Canis lupus familiaris: one gene and its partner. The main gene of each other region encodes a partner of the protein of the gene in region 2 in a complex. Links are inferred from orthologs where the notes say so. Each region holds a gene or a part of one and is shown on either strand. Other genes may lie near its edges. The genes, in order: SLPI and ELANE.

What was found.
Region 1: the proteins of ELANE (region 2) and SLPI are in contact, whole or in part, in a crystal structure (PDB 2Z7F), measured with the Homo sapiens proteins. The link is inferred for Canis lupus familiaris from reciprocal best matches to the Homo sapiens genes ELANE and SLPI. Residues at the interface, in NP_001963.1 of Homo sapiens: His53, Phe54, Cys55, His70, Cys71, Asn74, Val75, Pro111, Val112, Asn113, Leu114, Leu158, Ile165, Leu180, Arg182, Val197, Cys198, Phe199, Gly200, Asp201, Ser202, Ala216, Ser217, Phe218, Val219, Arg220, Gly221; in NP_003055.1 of Homo sapiens: Tyr93, Gly94, Gln95, Cys96, Leu97, Met98, Leu99, Pro102, Phe104, Met121, Cys122.

The regions. Positions count from the first base shown.
Region 1 is NC_049245.1:33,193,928-33,203,837, forward strand, and holds SLPI (antileukoproteinase precursor), read right to left. Parts: upstream 5,022-9,910; 5' UTR 5,001-5,021; coding exon 4,919-5,000; intron 4,210-4,918; coding exon 4,048-4,209; intron 3,562-4,047; coding exon 3,413-3,561; 3' UTR 3,412-3,412; intron 2,838-3,411; 3' UTR 2,618-2,837; downstream 1-2,617.
Region 2 is NC_049241.1:58,265,597-58,275,330, forward strand, and holds ELANE (neutrophil elastase precursor), read right to left. Parts: upstream 5,081-9,734; 5' UTR 5,061-5,080; coding exon 4,991-5,060; intron 4,860-4,990; coding exon 4,703-4,859; intron 4,368-4,702; coding exon 4,226-4,367; intron 3,783-4,225; coding exon 3,552-3,782; intron 3,459-3,551; coding exon 3,210-3,458; 3' UTR 3,192-3,209; downstream 1-3,191. Other genes in the region: CFD (complement factor D), read right to left, coding at 36-293, 380-524, 614-1,089. UniProt on the Homo sapiens protein: Serine protease that modifies the functions of natural killer cells, monocytes and granulocytes. Inhibits C5a-dependent neutrophil enzyme release and chemotaxis. Promotes cleavage of GSDMB, thereby inhibiting pyroptosis. Promotes blood coagulation.

The DNA of each region.
Region 1 (9,910 bases), on a different chromosome or scaffold from region 2:
AGCAAAGGAATATAGAATGGGTAGTGGGAGAGGGTAATTATAAATACTAGCTACAACCACATGACCAGTTCCAGAAATGAGGACTGAGGACTGTAATTGTTATGAGATTTCCTCCTTACGTTGCTCTGAATGCATTTGTGTTTTCCTTCTTCTGTCTTTTTTACTGCCTTATCATGTAACATAAGCTGTAGAGACTTTATATCATAGTATTTCTTAATTTTACATTACAGGATTTAAGTTACAGGATATCAAGGAGGAGATCAAACATCACTCAAGGACTTTACCTCTTCTTTTGCAAAAGAGTTAATGTGTTTTTGGTTGTATGAAGAATAACTGTATCATGTTTGGCAGAATTCTGACTTTGTTATTGTCTTTCTTTGGAGATTAAGTATGGTTTAAGTGGATGCATCAGGGTACCAAGCTGACATGGCCTGGGCCTGTGGTGGGTAATTTCTTGTGGCAACTTGACTGATCACAAAATGCCCAGATTAAAAATTATTCATGGGTATGTCTGTGAGGATGTTTCCAGATGAGATTAACATTCGAATCTGTGGAACAGTAAAGTAGAATCCCTTCCCCAGTGTGGGTAGTCCTCATCCAATCCCCTGAGGGTTTAAATAAAACAAAAGGTGGAGGAAGAAGGAATCCACATCTCTTTTCCTCCTTCATTGTTTGAGTTGGAACATCTCACCTCATTTTCTCCTGCCTTTGGATTGGAATGTACACCATCAGTTTTCCTAGTTCTTAAGCCTTCAGACAGGAACTGCATTACACCACAGTTCCAGTTTACAGACAGAAGATTATGGGACTTAGCCTCCATAACTGTGCAAGCCAATTCCTCATCATAAAGGAATGAAAGAGGGGTGCCTGTGTGGATCAGTCAGTTAAGCATCTGCCTTGGCTCAGGTAATGATCCTGGGGTCCTGAGATCGAGCCCCACATTGGGCTCCTTGATCAACAAGGAGTCTGCTTCTCCCTTTCCCTCTGCCCTTCCCCTGCTTGTGTTCTCGCTCTCTTAAATACATAAATACATAAATAAATAAAGTCTTGAAAAAAATCATGTTGAACTTCTATGAAAACTTTTTAAACCTTCATGAATTCTAATTTTAACAGTTTATTTAGGATGTTCCCAACCTTGTTCAGAGACAATGACATTGCCTTATAATTATCTTTTCTTATACTGCCCATATTTGGTGGCAGTAGCAGACTTTTGCTAGCTTCACATTGCAATAGATGTCTATTGCTGCCTAACAAATTGTCCCCCATATTTAGCACCTTCTCCCAGTTCGAGGGTCAGGAAGCCAAGAGTAGCTTCACTGGATGGTTCTTGGTCATGGTCTGTCATGAGGTTATAATCAAACTGTGTGCTGGGACTGCAATCTTTTCAAGATTAGACTGGGGCTGAAACTCTGCCTCCAAGGTTCCTCACATGTTTGTCAGTGGAGCTCAGTTCCTCACATGCTGTTGAGAGACCCTTGTCTCTTCACCTGATGGCCTCTCCACAGATGGCTGAGTGTCCTCCTGACAGGGCAACTGAGTCCTGCCAGAGTAGAAGATCCAAGAGAGGGGACATGCTTCCCAGATGGAAGGTGCCATCCTTAACTCATCTCATCAGGACATAACTACCTCTCACTCTGCAATAGTTTGTTGGTCACATAGACCCATCTTGAAAAACCATGGGAGGGGCCACACAAGGGCTGGAGTCCCAAGAGATGAGGATATCCAGGAGGCAGCTCAGAGAGCGGCTACCCTGCTCACAAAATAAATAAGATGGCACTCCCTCTTTTCCCTCTTCCCTTAAACAGTTAAGTTAATACATCCTGTTGCTGCTCTTGGAACATTGACTGAATGTAGAATGTGGAATGTTTTTTTAGATCAGTGATATTTTCCAGGAAATTATTGAATTACAGTTGTGTTTTGTCCTTCTATGTCACTTTCCAATTAAATTCTCTGCTTCCTTTGGAGTCCAAAGAGCACAGAGAAGTGGGGAGCATGGTTCCCTGCTTGCTCTGAGTTCTGGGAGTCCAGTTCTTATTACTCTTTTCTGCTCCATGGAGTCAAGAACATTATCCTTGTGTGAAAAACAAAACAAACAAACAACACCCATTATCCTTGTGTGGTTACTAGCCAGCAGCATGTTGCTTTCCCTGGGGACTCCAATACCAAAATGCAATGGGCAGAAGTGTTTGGAGTCCCCTCTCAGGATTGATAATCAGTGCATGTGGTTCTGCTCAATATTTACTTTAAGATAGAAGAAATCTCTCCCAAGGGAGAGAGAAGAAATGTAGGAGGCTCAAAATCACCACAGAAGGCAAATATCCACCATTTTTTGAGCCTGCTGTGACCTAGCAACATTGCTATTCATTTCATACATGTGGCATACTCCAATGCTCAACACAATGAGAACGTGATTTTTGTTGCCACTTTGGAGATAAAGAAATTAAGATGTATGAGATAAAGTCATTTGTCCAAAATTGCAGAGCCAGTGTTTTCAGACTCATGATGTAGATTCATGTCTGTCTGCCCCTGAAGCCTCTTTCTTCCACTCTGTATAGGAAGGAGGCCTCATATCCACACATTCCCTCATCACCTCCCATCCAACAAACTACAAGAAGCATGTGGACAAAAGAAATGTGCTCATTTATTTATTCATCAATCAACAGGCATTTCCTGAAAGCCTACAGTGTGCCAAGCCTTTCCCCAGTGGAGATATTGGTAGTAAAACCAAGCCTTCACCATGGAATGCCACCACGGTGATCCAAGCCTGGGAGCAGAAAACAGAATTCCCAGACCACAGAGTAGAAATCCAGAGACTCTTCCAAATGGCAGGTATCAGGCTATGGGAGAAAATCAGATCAGGGTTTTAGTATGGGGACCAGCCAAATTATCTCCCTCTTCTTCCCCCAAGTAACCCCCAAGACAGAGAAAACAGCAAAGTGGTGGTATAGTTGAAAAGTCTTGGTGTCAGGAGACAGAGTTCAAGTCTCAATTTTACTGTGGGACTCTAAACTCAGCAGATTACTCTCAAAGTCCATTGATCTTTTGGTCTCTGACCCTAAACAACGTGCTGAAGTTGATCTTAATAATAAATATTTAGCACAAATGGTGCTTTACAAAGCACTTTCGATTTCAGTATGTCCATTTTACAGATAAGGAAACCAAGACTCAGAGGACCACTTGCCCAGGGCCTTCACCCAGAGGGGTTGGAATAGAATCAAAGTCATGAGTGATCCCATAGAAATCCTGGCCCTGGGGCCTGGGGAGCAGTACCCTTGAAGGATGAGAGGGCCAGGCAGAGGCTGTTTCAGGGTAGGGATCAGGAGTCCCCCAGCTTATATGCCAGGGCTGCCACAGGCTTGGGACAGAGAGGACTGGTGAAAGACAGATGGGTTGGTCCAGGCCACTCCTTACCTTATTCAGGGTCCACACAGGCTTTCCCACACATGCCCTTACAGCACTTCAAGTTAGACACGCACTGGCGGTCTGTCTCACAGTGATTGGGGGGATTGAGCATCAGACACTGGCCATAGACCACCGGACACCTGCCAGGCTTCATTCTAACTGGTGAGAGTAGAGCCACAGGTAAGGGGCCTTGTGCCTTCTGCACCACCCCTGCTTCCTGGACCCAGACCCAGCCCAACCCACTCAAGGAGAATCATCTCTTCTCCATTCCTATGACCACCTCTTCCTTCCCAGGGCCTCTGTATCCCTTCATGGAGGATCCAGGTCTCCTCTCACATAAGGCCCCCTGTCCACACAGGTGACCAGCTGTCTGGTGCTGACTGGATGGATGCCTGCCACCTGCCTGCTTACCTGAATGACCAGATGATTATTGTTCAAAAAGCCGACCTCCTGACAGACTATCTGCTTCACCAGCTAGGTGAGTAAATTCCTGTCTGGGGCAGTGTGACTCCCTGACCAGCTGCCAAATTTGACTCAACAATTCCTGGGAGGGAGGAGACCTGGCAGGACCAGCATCCAGTCCTATCCCCTTAGGTGCTGCATTCTCAGGCTCCCTCCCTCATGCCAGCCCTTCCACCTCCTCACTTGAGTTGGAGACATTAACGGGATCCAAGCATTTGATTCCACAAGCATGAGAGCAACATATCTGCCTCCCCGGACACTGCCAGTCACTCCGGCACTCAAATTTCTCAAATCCAGAAAGGCACCGATCAGGTGGTACAGAAGGGCAGAGTCCAGCTTTCCACGCTGTTGAAGAGAATGTCAAGAGTTGAGGAAGGAGCTGGGTGCTAAGTAGCCATCATGATTCCTGGACAAAGCACCACACTCCAGGAGAGACCCTCACTCATGCAACTGTCCACAAAGTCCAGAGGGAAATGCCTGCCTGACCTCCACAGCGTGGAGGCTTGATTAAACCACACATGAGGGCAGATTAAACCACACATGAGGGCAGAAAAAGTTCCTGGGCCTTGGCAAAGGGCAGAGGGCTCCCAGCCAACATTTCCTGCCCCAGGGAAAACAAAGCTCTGCAAAGGCAAAGAAGCAGTCTGGGAGGGAGGGAGATGGAGAGAGACAAAGGTAAATAGAGCCAACAGGACAGTTTGAGAGCTAGAGCCAGAGGCAGAGACACAGAAACTGAAAGATTGGCACAGAGAGACAAGAAATCAGAGCCAGAGACTGGTGTCTGCAGAGGGACAGACAAGATGAAGAGAGCGGGGTGATGAGAACAGAGGGAGTGGGGCCCGGGCTGACTGGACACCAGTATAAGAGCCCATCCCAATACTCAGAAGCCGACACAGATCTTGGAGCCTAGCTGGACATGAACCCACCCTCAGGGAGGTCTCTTGAAACTAAACTGAGAGATCAGAGCCTCTAGAAGGAGACATCCCCACACCACCAGGAGCCCCCATCACCTCTGCCCTATAGCCAAGATTGTGCCAGAGGGGCTTCAGCTTACCATTTCCAACACCTTCCACAGTCCAAGGCACCAGGGTTCCCAGGACAAGAAGCATGAGGGGGAAGAGGCTGCTGGACTGCATGATGAGACGTCGTGTGGCTCGGAAGGTCAACGCCAAGCCTCATCATTTATATTTTTGCTAGGGGGTGTGGCCCCAACAGAATTTCTTTGGCCCCTCCCAGCTGTGATCGCACCACACAGGAAGCTAGGTGAGATCAGCAATGCTAATACCAGAGAGACAGCAGTTCTTTTCTGTCCTAGCCAAGACCGTGAGGCCAACAGTAACTGCCAGGGAAGAAATGGAAGAGAGTGGCTTGGAAGATGTCACCAGGCTATTAAGGAGGCCATCTCAGTAAAGGGCTAGTAACCAAAATCTATAAAGAAAGTACCAACTCAACACCTAAAAAATAAAACATCCAGTCAAGAAATGGGCAGAAGACATGAACAGACATTTCTCTAAAGAAGACATACAAATGGCCAACAGACACACACACACACAAATGCTCACCATCATTTAGCACCAGGCAAATACAAATCAAAACCACAATGGAATAACACTTCACATCGATCAGAATGGTTAAAATTAGAAAGTCAGGAAACAGCACATGTTGGCGAGGATGCAGAGAAAGCAGAACACTTTACACTGTTGGTGGGAATGCAAGCTGGTGCAGCCACTCTGGAAAATACTATGGAGATTCATTAAAGATAGAGCTACCCTATGACCCAGCAATTGCACTAATAGATATTTACCCAAAGGATACAAACATAATGATTTGAAGGGGCATATACACACCCCTGTTTATAGCACTAATGTCTGCAATAGCAAACTATGGAAAGAGCCCAGATGTCCATCAATGGATCTATCTATCTATATATCTATCTTCTTTATATATGTGTGTGTGTGTATAGCCATCAAAGAGAATTAAATATTGCCATTTGCAATGACATGGATGGAACTAGAGGGTAGTATGCCAAATGAACTAAGTCAGTCAGAGAAAGACAAATACCATGTGATTTCACTCATATGTGGAATTTAAGAAACAAAACAAATGTACATAGGGGAAGGGAAGGAAAAATAAAATAAGACAAAAACAGAGAAGGAGATAAATCATAAGAGACTCTTAACTCTAGGAAATAAACATGGTTACTAGAGGGGATGTGGGTCAGGAGGATGGGGTAGCTGGGTGATGGGCATTAAGGAGGGCACTGAATTGAAGTAATGAGCACTGGGTGTTATATGCAACTGATGAATCACTAAATTCTACCTCTGAAATTAATAACTGTAAGTTAATTAAATTGAATTTAAATTTTTTTAAAAAGGAGGCCATCTCATATGACCATTTCATGTCAGTGTGAACCATGAATGTAGTGGGGGCCCCAAGCCCATAAGCCTGGTGGGAGAAGAGGGCAAGAAGAGGCCAGCTGCAAAGAATATACTTAGATCTGGAGCTAAAGCCACAGATGTGAACTCTCCGCTAAGACCTTGTGCAAGGCCCCACTAATTCTCACATTCCTGGACTCTCAGGGATTGTGAAACTCTCTGCTGATTGCTCAATGCAATTTCCTTCTCAAAAGTTCAGGTGACATTTCAACCAACAGACATTTATTTCCTGAAATATTGACACCATTCTGTCTCCAGTGCCTGGTCCATACCTGATACATGGAAAGCGCTCACTAAACAATTGTCAAATAGGGGCGCCTGGCTGGGTCAGTTGGTGAAGCATGTGATTCCTGATTTCAGGGTCATGACTTCAAGCCCCATGATGGGTGTAGAGGTTACTTAAAATTTTTTTTAATGAGTTAAATTTTAAAAACAGTTATCAAACAAAAAGGTGCAGAAGGAAGAACTCTACCCACAGCAAATCTCTTTGGAGCTCAGTCTTCCCAACTGTGCAATGGGATGATACTAACAAATCAGCCCCTCTGAGAATTGTGAGATTATGGGTATAGAAGAGCTGGAAAAAGAACAAATGAGGGACACCTGGGTGGCTCAGTGATTGAGTGTCTGCCTTGGCTCAGGTCATAATCCTGGAGTACTGGAATTAAGTCCTGCATCAGGCTCCCTGCAGGGAGCCTGCTTCTCCTTCTACCCATGCTCTGGCTCTCTCTGTACGTCTTTCATGAATAAATAAATAAAATATTTTAAAAAGAACAAATGAATTATATCCCTTACAACTGAGAACACTGAATTGAATCTGAGGGGCACCTGGGTGGCTCAGTCGGTTAAGCATCTGCCTTCAGCTCAGTTCATGATCCCAGAATCCTGGGATTGAACCCCTCATCAGGCTCCTTGCTCAATGGGGAGCCTGCTTCTCCCTCTCCCTCTGCCTGCTGCTCCCCCTGCTTGTGATCTCTCTCTGTGTCAAATGAATAAATAAAATCTTTAAGAAAAAAAAAAAAAAAAAGAAATGAATCTGAGACAAAGGTGCAAAGAGCTCCCTGGCCACCAGAATCAATATGTAGTTATAGTGTGCAATTGGAGATACTAGAGGGATGCTTCCTACCCCAAAATCCCCTACAGAACTCCTGAGATAAGTTATATATATATATGGCTGCCATATATTAAACTTATTCTGTGTGTTACCCCATCTGTAGAGAGTGCTTCTAATTATCAAGAAAGTGATCATCATGCCAAAAATTCAGCCCAAACTTGTCTAACTGCACATCCCAACCCCTTATATCATGTGACTTCCAGATGTTTGGGATTTCCTCATTCATTCCTCAAAGTGAAGGTTTGTGGAAATTCAAATAGATGTGAAAGAGTCAAGCATTATCATGCAACAATGGCTACACAGGAACTAATTTGTAAGGTATTCTCCAACAGTCAACTGACAACAGATCTGGCTGTGCAGAAATCCCTCAACGGTTCACATTTGGTGGGAAAAGAAAAAGAAGAAAATTAGAGTGCACTGGGTAACTGGTAAGTGCCAGGTGTCCACTCCTAGCTCAAGCTCAGGAGGGCAAGAGAGATTTGGAAGGTCTGACTTCCACCCATGGGTAATAACACTGTCAGCTCAGACACCCTGGTTTAGGTTCAGGATTTGGGCTCTCACTTCCATCCTCAGGGAGAATTTGATTTCCCTCACACGAGGGGATGAGAGTGGGAGAAACTAGGGATGCCTGGGTGGCTCAGCGGTTGAGCATCTGCCTTCAGCTCAGGGCGTGATCCTGGAGTCCTGGGATCAAGTCCCACTTCGGGCTCCCTGCATGGATCCTGCTTCTCCCTCTGCCTGTGTCTCTGCCTCTCTGTCTCTGTGTCTCTCATGAATAAATAAATAAATAATCTTTAAAAAAAGAGAGAGAGCGAGTGGGAGAAACTGTCACATTTCCCACTCTCTGATACTTCCTACCGTCCTCAACGCCACACTCAAGAGAGTGTCTGGAATTTTCTAAATATTTGCATCTTAAAGGGTGCAGAGGAGAATGCTCCAGATGGAATTCTCCATCTGTGATTGATTATAAAAGCCAACTCCTTTCCTGTAAGAAAGCAGTCCTGTGATCCATTAGCAATGTCTGCTCTGGGTGCCATTGGAGGATGACATGGTGTGATCATTTTTGTCCTTCATACCATTCTAAGTTCTAAGTCTTTAAATCACAGACTGTTAAGATTAAAAGCTATCTCAGAGGTCATCTAGACCAGGGGTCAACTAACGACAGCCCCCAGAGCAAATCCAGACAGCTGCCTGTTTTTTCTAAATAAAGTTTTATTGGAACACAGCCATACATTCATTCATTTATGTATTCTGGGGCTACTTGCCCACTACAAATGGCAGAGTTGAGTAGCTATGGCAGCCACCTAAACTTACTGCAAAGCCTAAAATATTTACTCTCCAGTCCTTCACAGAAAATGTTTGCTGACTCCTGATCTAGACCAAATCTCCAGCTTGCAGTAAGGGACTGAGGTCCTCAGGGGCAGGTACAAGCCCTGAGCCGCATAATGAGTTAGTTACATGGCACCAGACCGAGATTTACTAAAGCTGGTTCCTCCCATGTTGATCCCCAGAACCTGTTTGATGTCGGACTCTACCCCTCCTGACCCCATCTCAACCTGAGATGGATTCACTAAGTCTGCTTCACACACCCTCTGTTGCCTTCTCCTAAATACTACAGATTCACTCATTTGTTAAACGCCTTCACACAAAAAATGGTTTAATGAATTCTTCCTGCATCCAGGTGTGAGGCTAAGCCCTGAGGCTTCAGTGAAGGAGACACATGGAGTCAATACTACATGGTCATTAAGAACCCAAGCAGAGTCAGAGTTCCTTGGGCTGGAAGAAAGTCATGCAACCTCTCTGAGCCTGTTTCCTCGGGTAGCATTGGCTTCTCCTACATTGCTGTGAGTGAAAGGTATTTGGCAAGCACTCGGCACAGTGTCTTTGTCTCTCAGAATGGCAGACATGGTTCTTATTACAGTCAGCACCATGTACACTGGCACACAGGGAGGCACTACAGCCCCAGACCTCGGGTCCAGACCCGGCCTGCTCTGCCCCACTAAATGCCCAACTGAGCCTTCAGGACAGAGCTGCTTCTAGGATGCATTGTTGGGGGAAGGATCTGGGCAAGTATTTCTTGAGGGCCCTCTGTCTCTAGAAACAAATTGATTCAAAAACATTATAGGGGGGCATGGCTGGCTCAGTAGATGCAGAGTGTGACTCTTGATTGTGGTTTTTGTTTTTTTTTTTTTTTTTTTTTTTGCCATGCCCCTACCTTGGGCATAGAGATTACTTAAAAATAAAAACAAAATCTTAGAAAAAATACTGTTTTATATATATCCAAGAGGATTTGGAATAATGAAAGGGGTGTTTGCTTGTTGTCCAAGGAGAGTATGTGAAGTTCCCTCAGTCTCCAGGCATTGTTTCTCCCTCCACAAGTCCAGAAACCAGCTCTTTGTGTTCCGTATAGTCAGATGTGACTAGTTTCAGATCTCCCAGCACAAGGAAGGATGCAATTCTGTTATGACCCAGAGTGCCAAGGCTTTATATTGTCTGTATT
Region 2 (9,734 bases):
CCCGCCCACCCTGCTGCCCCGCCCCGCCCGCGCACCTTGCAGCTGTCCCGGCGGTTGCTCTCCGCGCACATCATGCGCTCCGTGATGGTGCCGTCGTGGTACGTGCGCAGGTTGCAGGTGGCGCGGTCGAGCACCGGCAGGATCAGGTGCTGCAGGCGGTCGGGCCGGCGGCCCGTGTGGCTGACCACGCCCCAGCCCGCCACGTCGCAGCGCGTCCCGGCCGCCACGTCGCGGTCCTCGCGCTGCCAGCGCAGGGGCTGCACGGCGGGGCCCAGCTCGGCGTCCTCGGACAGCTGCGGAGGGGGCGGCGCGGGGTCAGGGCGGCGCGGGGCGGGCCTGCGGCCCAGGTGGCGGCCCCCGCGGCGGCCCAGGTGCTCACCTGCAGCAGGAGGAGGTCGTGCTCGATGGTGTCGCGCCGGCTGTCGGGGTGGGGCACCGCCCGCAGCACGTCGTACCAGCGCTTGGACGGCTCCGGCTGCGACAGGGAGTGCGCGCCCAGGAGCACCCGCACCTTCCCGTCGGCCCTGGGAGCGGGGTTGGGGTCACAGCCTCGTCCGCGGCGCCCCGCCCCGCCCCGCCGCGCCCCTCCGCGCCCGCCGCGCCCGCCGCTCACACGTCCTCCAGGCAGTGCGCCGCGCTCAGCACCCAGCGCTCCGACACCAGGAAGCCGCCGCACACGTGCTTGCCGTCCACCTGCACCGACGCCATGTAGGGCCGCGCGTGGGACTCGGCCTCGCTCCCGCCCAGGATGCGCCCACGAGGCTGCGCGGCTGCGGGGGGGAGGGGCAGGCGGGGGGCGGGTGACGGGGGTCTGGGCCAAGCCCGCGCCCCACGCGGCGCCTCCGGGCTCAGCGCGAGCTCGGCCCGCGGGGCTGCGTCCTGCGTGGGCCCCGCGTGGGCAGAGCTCGGCCCTGGCGCTCCCGCCTCGGGGAGTCCCTCGGGTGCAGAGCCCCCGTCCAGGTGGAGCCGCGCCTCCCCTCCCCGGCTGCCCGCCCGCCCGGTCCCCTGGGCCCAGGTCCACTCACCACACAGGGCGGCTCCTAGCAGCACCAGGGGCACCAGGGGCACCGGGCCGAGGCGGGGGGCCATGCTGCCGTGGGGCCTGGGACGGGCACGCGTGTGAGCCGGGCGGGGGGCAGCGCTCCGCACACCCACCTGCTGGCCTGGCCCTGTGGCAGCCGAGCCCAGGACGCGCAGAGGCCAGAGCAGGCCCGGCCCCGCTGCCCCCCCATCTCCCCAGGGTGCTCTCCCCGCCCCAAGTTTTGCAACAGCAGCTGGAGACCACAGTTTATAAACAACCAACTTCCTCATATTTCCGCCCTTCTCTTGTTTCTCTTCCTCCCCCAACTTGGAGGAGAGGTCAGGGTGGGGATGGGAGGTGGCCTGACATGCTCGTCCCCAGGGGCACCGGGGCCTGACACCCCAACGAGGCGCATATTAAAGAGGCGGTGTGGAGGCAGCTGGAGGAACTGTGGGCTACAAGTGACAGAAAAGCCAAGCCGAGGGGCACCTGGGTGGCTCAGTCGGGATGATGCGTGCGTCTTCGGCTCAGATCACGATCCCGGGTCCTGGGCTCCCCGCTCAGCGAGGAGCCTGATGCTCCTTCTGCCCCTCCCCACTGCCCATGCTCATTCTTTCTCCCTCTCTCTCTCTTTCTCTCTCTCTCTGTCTCTCAAAGAAATAAATCTCTTAGAAAAACTACCAAGTTGAACTCGGTAGAGTCTTCAACAAGGAAATTTAAATGGGAATTTCAGGGGGGCCTACCTTCAGGTGTGGTTTGATCCAGGAGCCTGAACTATCTCTGTCTGTGGTTTCTCCTTTCCTCCTCGGTGGCTTTTCTCCTCAACAGTCTCCCTCGTTGTGACCCCAAAAGCCCCAGACCCAGCCCAGTGGCTGGGCAGGCCCCTCCCAAATCCTCCATCCTTCCAGCCAACTTGTCCAGGCCGTGCTGATTAGCTGAGCTTCCCTCACGTGTCCCCTCCCAAACCAATCGCTGTGAGCAAGGGATGGCAGATTCTGGTCAGCCAAGGGTTACATGGCCCTCTCTAGCAGGGGGGGACGACAGATCCACGTCTCACGAACCCACAGCGGGGCCAGTGCTGGGACCATGAGGGTGGGGTGGACCTTGGACGTCCCCAATGGGCGCATTGCGCAACGTTGCCCTTCTTTCTCTTCGCCGTGGACTGTTGCATACACAGAGAAGGATGGACAGAACACGACCGTGATTTGCTAGATCCTGACAGGTTTCCTTGCTGAGGTCAGTAGCCAAACAAGTCCTGTAGGGGATGGAGCCCAGCTCCTGGAAGAGGTGGGCATCTCAGCAAGGCTTGGGGACGACTCGGCAAGACGGCGGTTTGACAAAGGGCCCCGAGCACCCCCAGGGGCCCGGTGGCCGCGGAGACACCGCCAGGGTATATGGTGCAATACTAGGCTGAAGGGCCAATCGCACGGCAGCCGGACGCCGCGTAGGGAGGGGGCCGCCAGGGACCGGCCAAGGCCGTGGGGCCCCAGGGCCAGAGCCCCGCCCGGGAGCCCCTGCTGTGATCTCCATCAGGAGTGCAGGTGGGGGGCGGCTGGGACGCGGACCCTCGCCTCGGTACTTCCTGCAGGGAAACAGGCTCAGGGTGGGGGCGCCTGTGGGGCTCGGCGGGTGAGCATCTGCCTCTGGCCCAGGGCGTGACCCCGGGTCCCGGATCGAGTCCCGCCTCGGGCTCCCCGCACGGAGCCTGCTTCTCCCTCTGCCTGGGTCTCTGCCGGTCTTCCTCTCTCAACCTCTCTGTCTCTTTGTATGTCTCTTATGAATAAATAAATAAAATCTTTTAAAAAATAAAGAAAATTTAAAATTAAAAAATAAACAAAATTAAAAACTTAAAAAAAAATTAACGGAAACGGGCTCAGGGAAGTTGACCGGTCACAGAGCTGGGGCTCCAGCGTGGGCTCCCGGGTGCGGCTTCACCCCTGCCTGGACCTGTACCTCGTCACCTGTCGGGGACACAGAGGGCCAGCCGGGGGCCCTCGGGGCGCACCTGCCACAGCGCAGGCCTCAGCAGCTGCCGTGGTTCCGTCCGTGAGCCTGGGAACCAGGAACGGCAATCGGCGCCCCTTCCCCGATGCCCTGAATTGGCCGCCCTTGGGGGCAGCAGGCTCACGAGACGCCCCAGCCGCGCCGCCACAAACACCCGGACACGTTCTCACAACCAGGGAGGGCTTTATTGGGTGGGACGCGGGCGATGCGGGGCGGGCGGCGGCGCGCGGGCGGCGCCTCGTTCGGGGTCCTGCTGGCCGGGGCGCGCGGGCGGGAGGGCGGGCGGGCGGCGGATGATGGAGTTGATCCAGTCCACGAACTGAGCGACGGGGGCGAAGGCGTCGGGGAAGAACCCGGAGGCGCAGCTGCCGCGGATGAAGGAGTCGATGCCCTGGATCAGCCCGTTGCAGACCAGGGGCCCCCCGGAGTCCCCCTGTGGACACGGACGGGGTTGGCAGGCCGCGTGTCGGCGCTGGGGGCCGCGAGGGGGGCGCGGGGAGGGCACCCGGGGGCCCGGGGTACGTACGAAGCAGATGCCGGCCCGCCGGCGTGGCACCAGCGTGCACACGTTGGAGCGGCGGCACAGGGTGGTCACCACGGTCACGTTGAGCTCCTGCAGGATCCTGGGCGGCGGCTGGGCCGTGCCCAGCTGGCCCCAGCCCATGGCCAGGCACTGCACGCCGTTGCCCACGCCTTGATTCTGGGCGGGCAGCCTGGCCACCTGCACGTTGGCGTTGATGGTGGCCGAGCCGTTGAGCTGTGGGGGGTGGGTGGGGGCATCAGGGTCATGACCTCCCCTCCTGGGCCTCAGTCTCCCCAGATGCGCAGTGGGAGCAAGCACAGGGGCTCTGAGCATCTCCGGACGAGCCTTGAACGCAGCACACGGTGGGCACTCGATGGCACACACCGTGGGCAGCAGCAATGACAAGACAGCCCTTGTTCTAGAACCTTCCCAGGGAATAGTAACTCCGCAAGCGGTGGGGGAGGGAGGGTTTCATCCTAGAGGCTCCCGGTCCACGTGCTCGGCCACACGAATTACAAGTTTGTTGATGGGCCGCGGCTCAGCGCCTCTGGCGCCACCTCAGTTCCCAGAGCCCCGGGGGGGGAGGGGGTCCTCCCGTCCAGCGGTGGAGGCCGAGGCACCGGGAGGGACGTGGCAGGGACAGCGCCCCGACCCCCAGGCGCCCCTGCCCAGCTCACCTGCAGGAGCACGATGTCATTCACCAGCCTGACGGGGTCGAAGCCGTTTTCAAAGACCCGCTGGACGGCGAACAACTGCCTGGTGCTCTCGCGTTCCCCCAGGTCATGCGCCCCCAGCACCACCACCACTGACCGGAAGTTCCTGCGGCAAACAGACGGCGTGATTCGAAGTGGCCCTGGCGGTGGGGACACCCCAGGCCTCAGCTGTGCCCCCCGAGCCCAGGAGGGTCTGCACGGACCTCACCCTCTGGGCCCGGCAGGGGAGGTGCACTAATGTGAGCACGGGGGGGCACAGGGAGGGCACGGGGGGCACGGGGAGGGCACGGGGAGGACACGGGAGCAGAGGGAGGGGACGGGGAGCACGGGGGGCACAGGGCAGCCCTGGGAGGACCTCGGGGCCCTGGTGTCACCGTGTCCCCATCACACAGAGGTGCAAACGAGTCTCCAGGGAAGGCGGCGGGAGCCGGGGGCACTCACAAGCCATCCACGCAGTGGGCCGCCGACATGACGAAGTTGGGGGCGATGAGGGTCCCACCACAGAAGTGACCTCCACGCCGCTGCAGGGACACCATGAAGGGCCATGCATGGGGCTGGGCCGGGCGGCCACCCACGATCTCCGAGGCCAGAGCGGGGCCTGAGGACACACGGGGGCGGTGAGCGCCGGGGGACCCCGGCCCGTGGCTGTCGCGGGCCCCAGGGCTCCTCGCGGGCTCAGCTGAGATCAGGGGACCGAGGACGAGGGTGCGGGCGGCCGCGCCCACTCACCGGGCAGCAGCGTGGCCAGCAGCAGCAGTGGGCCCAGGGCAGGGCCGGCGGGCACTCGGCGGGCGGTCATGGCCGGGCGGTGGCGGTGTCGCGGCCCCGGGCCCCCCGCCCCTCTTATAGGCCCCGCTGGCCGTTGCTGTTGCCCCACGGAGGGGCCAGGTGTCCCCACTTCCTGTGCCCCCCGGGGGTGAGGGGAGGCGGGGGCGGGAGGCCCGGAGGGCGGGACGTTCCCAGGCTGTCACTGTGAGCGGGTCCCCAGGGCTGCGCAGGACGGGCCGTCCAGGGGCGAGCCGCCGACCTCCACCTCCACGCTCAGAGGGGCGTCCTGTGACGTCACTGAGTCCGGCACCCTGCGCCTGACGGACCTTGGCGGGACCCCTGGCTGCCTCGGTTTACCCAGGGCTGCGAGCACTGCCCCGATGTCCCCTGGGGGCGGCAGGGCGTCTGGGCCCCCACCTGAGATGCAAGCTCGCCCCAGCCCCCCAGGTCACAGCAGGAGGGCGGCCGGCAGTCCCCCAGGCCCGCTCCCCCATCCCCCCCACCCCTGCTCCACTTCCCGCCTCCCCCAGGACTCCGCCAGCTGCTGTCGCAAGAGGCAACGTCCCACTGGCTCGAGGCTCGGGAAGGCACCAACGGATCCGGGGGCGCCCAGGCTGGGGCCACCGTGGGGCCCCCACTGTCCGGGCTGGGCAGATGCCCCTGCCACCCGGAGCCCGCGCTCGGTGTCCCCAGGGTCCCAGGGCCCCATGCCCCCCGCCCCGTCCTGCCCCTCCCCTCCCGGCGCGACCCCCACCCTCGTCCCTGAAGGTCCCTGGAGCCTTGTAAGCCCCCGAGGGGGGTCTGGTGGGTGGAGTGGGGGCAGCCGAGTCCCTGGAGGCGTACCCCCAGCTGCATCTACTGAGCACCCCTGTGTACTCTGCGCATCCATGTCGCGGGGGTGCAGTGTGTGGACTCTCCTGCGGTGGCCACTCGCCTGCTGCACCCGTGCAGGCCGCAGACTGGACCCGTGTGCACTCCGTGTCCCCGTCTCTACAATGCGCGTGAGCCACAGGCTCTGGGGGCAAAATGAGGATAAACGGACATGGGTGACAAAGTGGCATCCTCGAGGGTCACTACCCGTTAGCCACCTGTGGGGCAGGGGGGTGGCCGCCGCGAGGGGCGCAGGCCGGCGGGGCTCTACGTCCACTCGGGACCCCGGGGATGCGGGCACCTCACCCGGCGTCACTCAGGCCACAGTAAGAACGTCCTTGGGGGCGCGGGGACCTCGAGTGTGGGGACTGCTGCCCCCCCACCCCCGGCACCGCGGCCCCCTCCCCTTCTGGGTCCGACCCCTCCGGAGCAGCCTCAGGGGCCTTCCAGCTGCGGGTCTGCGTTCCCGTCACGGGCCGTGGACGCCCCCCCCCACGTCCTCACTGCCCCCTCCCTGGGCACGAAGGGTCCCCCTGGGCTTTGTCTAGAAACCACCTCCCTGCCTTGGGCTCCTGGGAAATTCGGGAAATTCCTGGCACCCTCCTGATACGCGTCAGCATCCCCCCCGCCCCCTCCCGCTGCCAGCTGTGGCAGCTCCTGTCCCCTCCCGGCGGCTTGTCGCGGCCTGAGTTTGCATCACGCCACCGGGTGGCAGCAGAGGAGGTCAGGACGGAAGGTGCTGCCTCCAGATGCCGCACCGCGACCGCTGCGCCCTCCCAGCCGCCTCTGACCTGTCCCCTAGGCCCAGCTCTGTGCCCACCAGTTCGCTGTCCCCTCCACCGCAGCCCTGCCCCCGGCACTCGCCCTGACCCCGCCTCCAGGAAGCCCCCCAAGGCCCCCCAACCCCCGGCCCGGCCTCTGCCGGGACCCACGTTCCCGTGGCCTGGTGCTCGCACAGTCCCCGAGCCGGGAGTCCCCGAGCCGTCCCCTGAGGGTCCGGCTGGGCGATGGCCGGGGGGACTCCATTTTCTAGAAAAGGAAACTGAGGCCCAGAGATGGGTAACAGAGAAATCAGGGTCACCCCGGCGGCGCTGGCGTCCGGGAAGAGTCCCTGCGTGACCTGGGCCCTCCACGAATCTACAATCGGGAACTTGGGTGCTGGGGACCCTGGGCCGCGCTCCCCCCTGGAGGGACACAGGCAGGGCGGCGGCCGCAGGGCTGGGGGCATGGGCAGGGGTGGGGCTGCATCAGGGGAGTTTTGAGTCTGCAGCTTCCTCTAGGACCCGTGGCTGAGGGGGACCAGGCGACAGCAGGGCTTTATTGGCCTCTTCCTGTGTACGCGGACCCCTGGCCTCGGGCGCGGCTCCAGGGCAGCACTGGACGGGCTGCCCCACGGCACCCGCCAGGAGGGGGCTGGCGCCCAGATTGGCCCCCCAAGCCCGCCTGGGCTGCTCACCTGCTCGAAGGCCCGGGCCTCTCCTTTCCAACCCTCGTCACTCTTGCACTAACACACTCGCAAGGCACTTACTGACCCCCGCTGCATCCTGGGGCCCCGCTAGGCCCTGGGGATCCTCTGCCCCGGTTCTCGGGGCGGGCGGGCCGGGAGGGGCAGGACAGAGGGTACCTCGCTGGGGCCAGGCCGGGCGGCAGGGTGGTCCCGTGTGCCCCGCGGGTGGTCGTGGGCTCTGTCCCCACCAAGCCCGCCGCGCCCCAGGCCGTGTCCCGGCATCTGCACAGGGCTGTGTAAACAGTCGGCGCTCCAGAGATGTTTGGTGCAGGGTGGGTGACGGCGGCCTCCCGCCTGCGGACGAGCGTGTCCCTGAGCCTCGCCTCCGCCTCCCGGTCGCGCGTGGAAGCCACTGCCAAGCAGGTGAGCGACGCTGACACGGAGCCCATCGCCGGCCCCCCGCGCTGTCCCCCTGCCCCCGGGCGGGCCTTGTGCCTGCGGTGCCAACACGAGGGGGAGGGCCCGGGCTCAGGATGCTTGGCTTGAGGTCAGCGCTCCTGGGGCCTCGTCCTGACACCAGGGCCCAGGTCACGCTGAAGGGCACAGGGGGCTGATGCCTGGTGGAGGGAAGGAGGTGTGACCCCAGGGCAGGGCTGTCTCCCCCCACCCCGACCCCAGGGCAGGGTGGCCTCCGCGCCCTCACAGGACCCCAGGCAGCGGGCAGTGGGCAGCACACAGCTTGAGTGGATGCCGGCCACGTAGGGCGGTGAGCAGGGCCCAGCCTCCTACCCACCCACGGTCTCCGTCACGCGGGGCCTGGGAGCCCCCAGACCAGGGGGGCAGAGCCACGGTGTGACCTCACCCCAGCCCCCCTCCCCATCTGTAAAGTGGGTGACCTGGGGCTCGCCCGCAGGGGGCTGGGGTCTGCTGGGGGCCGACCCTCGTTTCCGCAGGGTCCTGGGGGCCAGGCAGGGTGTGGGGAAGCCGGGCCGGGCCTAGAGCATCGTCCTCAGGATGAAGGCCTCCAACCTGCCCTGTGCCCCCCCCCCCCCCCCCCCCCCCCGGGGCATCCATGGAAGCAGCAGCAGGAGTCCTGCCCCGCCCCTGCCTCAGTGTCCCCGTTCCTGCCGGGAGGCCATGGGGCTGACCAGCTTGAGTGGACGTCGCCCCAGCACGAGCAAGGCCAGATAGACATTTGCACGTGTGGCCTCACGCACAGGGACCCCAGGGGCACCCCCTGCCTGTCCCCCTGGAAGCCCCACCGTGGGGCTTGCACCCGCAGGACCAGAGGGGGCCTGGGGGTCCGTGGGGCCTGAAGGCTGGCCCGTGCCCCCCTCCCTGCTCCCCTGGGGTCCGCGCGGCCCCAGCAAAGCAGCACGTGGCCTGGGGTCCAGGGCTGGGTGAGCCCCCGTGGGGGGAGGGGCACGCCAAGGGACACACCTGCGCTCACCTATACGGGCTCATCATTATGACAAGTTTAAACCCAGAGAAACGTAGAGACAAGCGCTCGCCAAAGTCACGGAAAAAAGAAATGTTTTTTGATGTTTCCTTTTTTTTTTAAGATTTTTTATGTATTTATTCCTGAGAGACCCAGAGGGAGGCAGAGACCCAGGCCGAGGGAGACGTCAGGGTCCGGGGTCACCCCTGGGCCCAAGGCTCACCCACGGAGCCCCCCAGGTGCCCCTTAACTTTTCATTTCGAAATGATTTCACGTTTGCGGAAGTCGGAAGGATCCCCAGGTTTGCGCCGCGCGGCTTCCCGGGGTCACCGTGGGCAGAGGCTGGTCGCAGGGTCTCCCCGGGGCCTCGGCATGTCCCCCCGGTGGCCCAGGCCCCGCCGGTGTCCCCTGCGCTCAGGGACCCCCCGCCCGTCCTGTGCCTGTGCCGAGGCTCCTCAGGACGCTGGCGTCGTGTGTCTGACCGGGGACCGAGCCTGCGCCCTGGTGGGCGCCCTGCAAGGCCAGTGTCCCCGTGGGGCGCGCGCAGCCTGTTTCCGGACCCCCGCCCGCAGCACAGGGGGCTGTGTCCCCCATCCTCTGTCCTCCGTCCCTGTACCCCCGTCCCCACCCTTCCTGGCTTGGCCGCGCCTCATCCCAGGTCCTCTCCTGCCTGCTCCTGCTGCCCGGGCTCTGAGATCCTGGGCTGGACACACAGCCTCGGGCCTCGGTTTCCCCAGCTGTAAAGGGACCCCAAGGTCAGCCGTGCCTCACGGGGCTTCGGTTATGTAATAGACGCGGGAGTGTGAGGAGCAGATACACACCCGGTCCCCCACGGGATGTCCCCGGCCCCGAGCAGGAGCGAGGCCCCCCCCAGGGACGGACCCTGGTCCCCGATGCTCAGGGAGGGGACCAGACACAGGAGGCCCCGCGGGGTGCGAGTCCACGTGTGT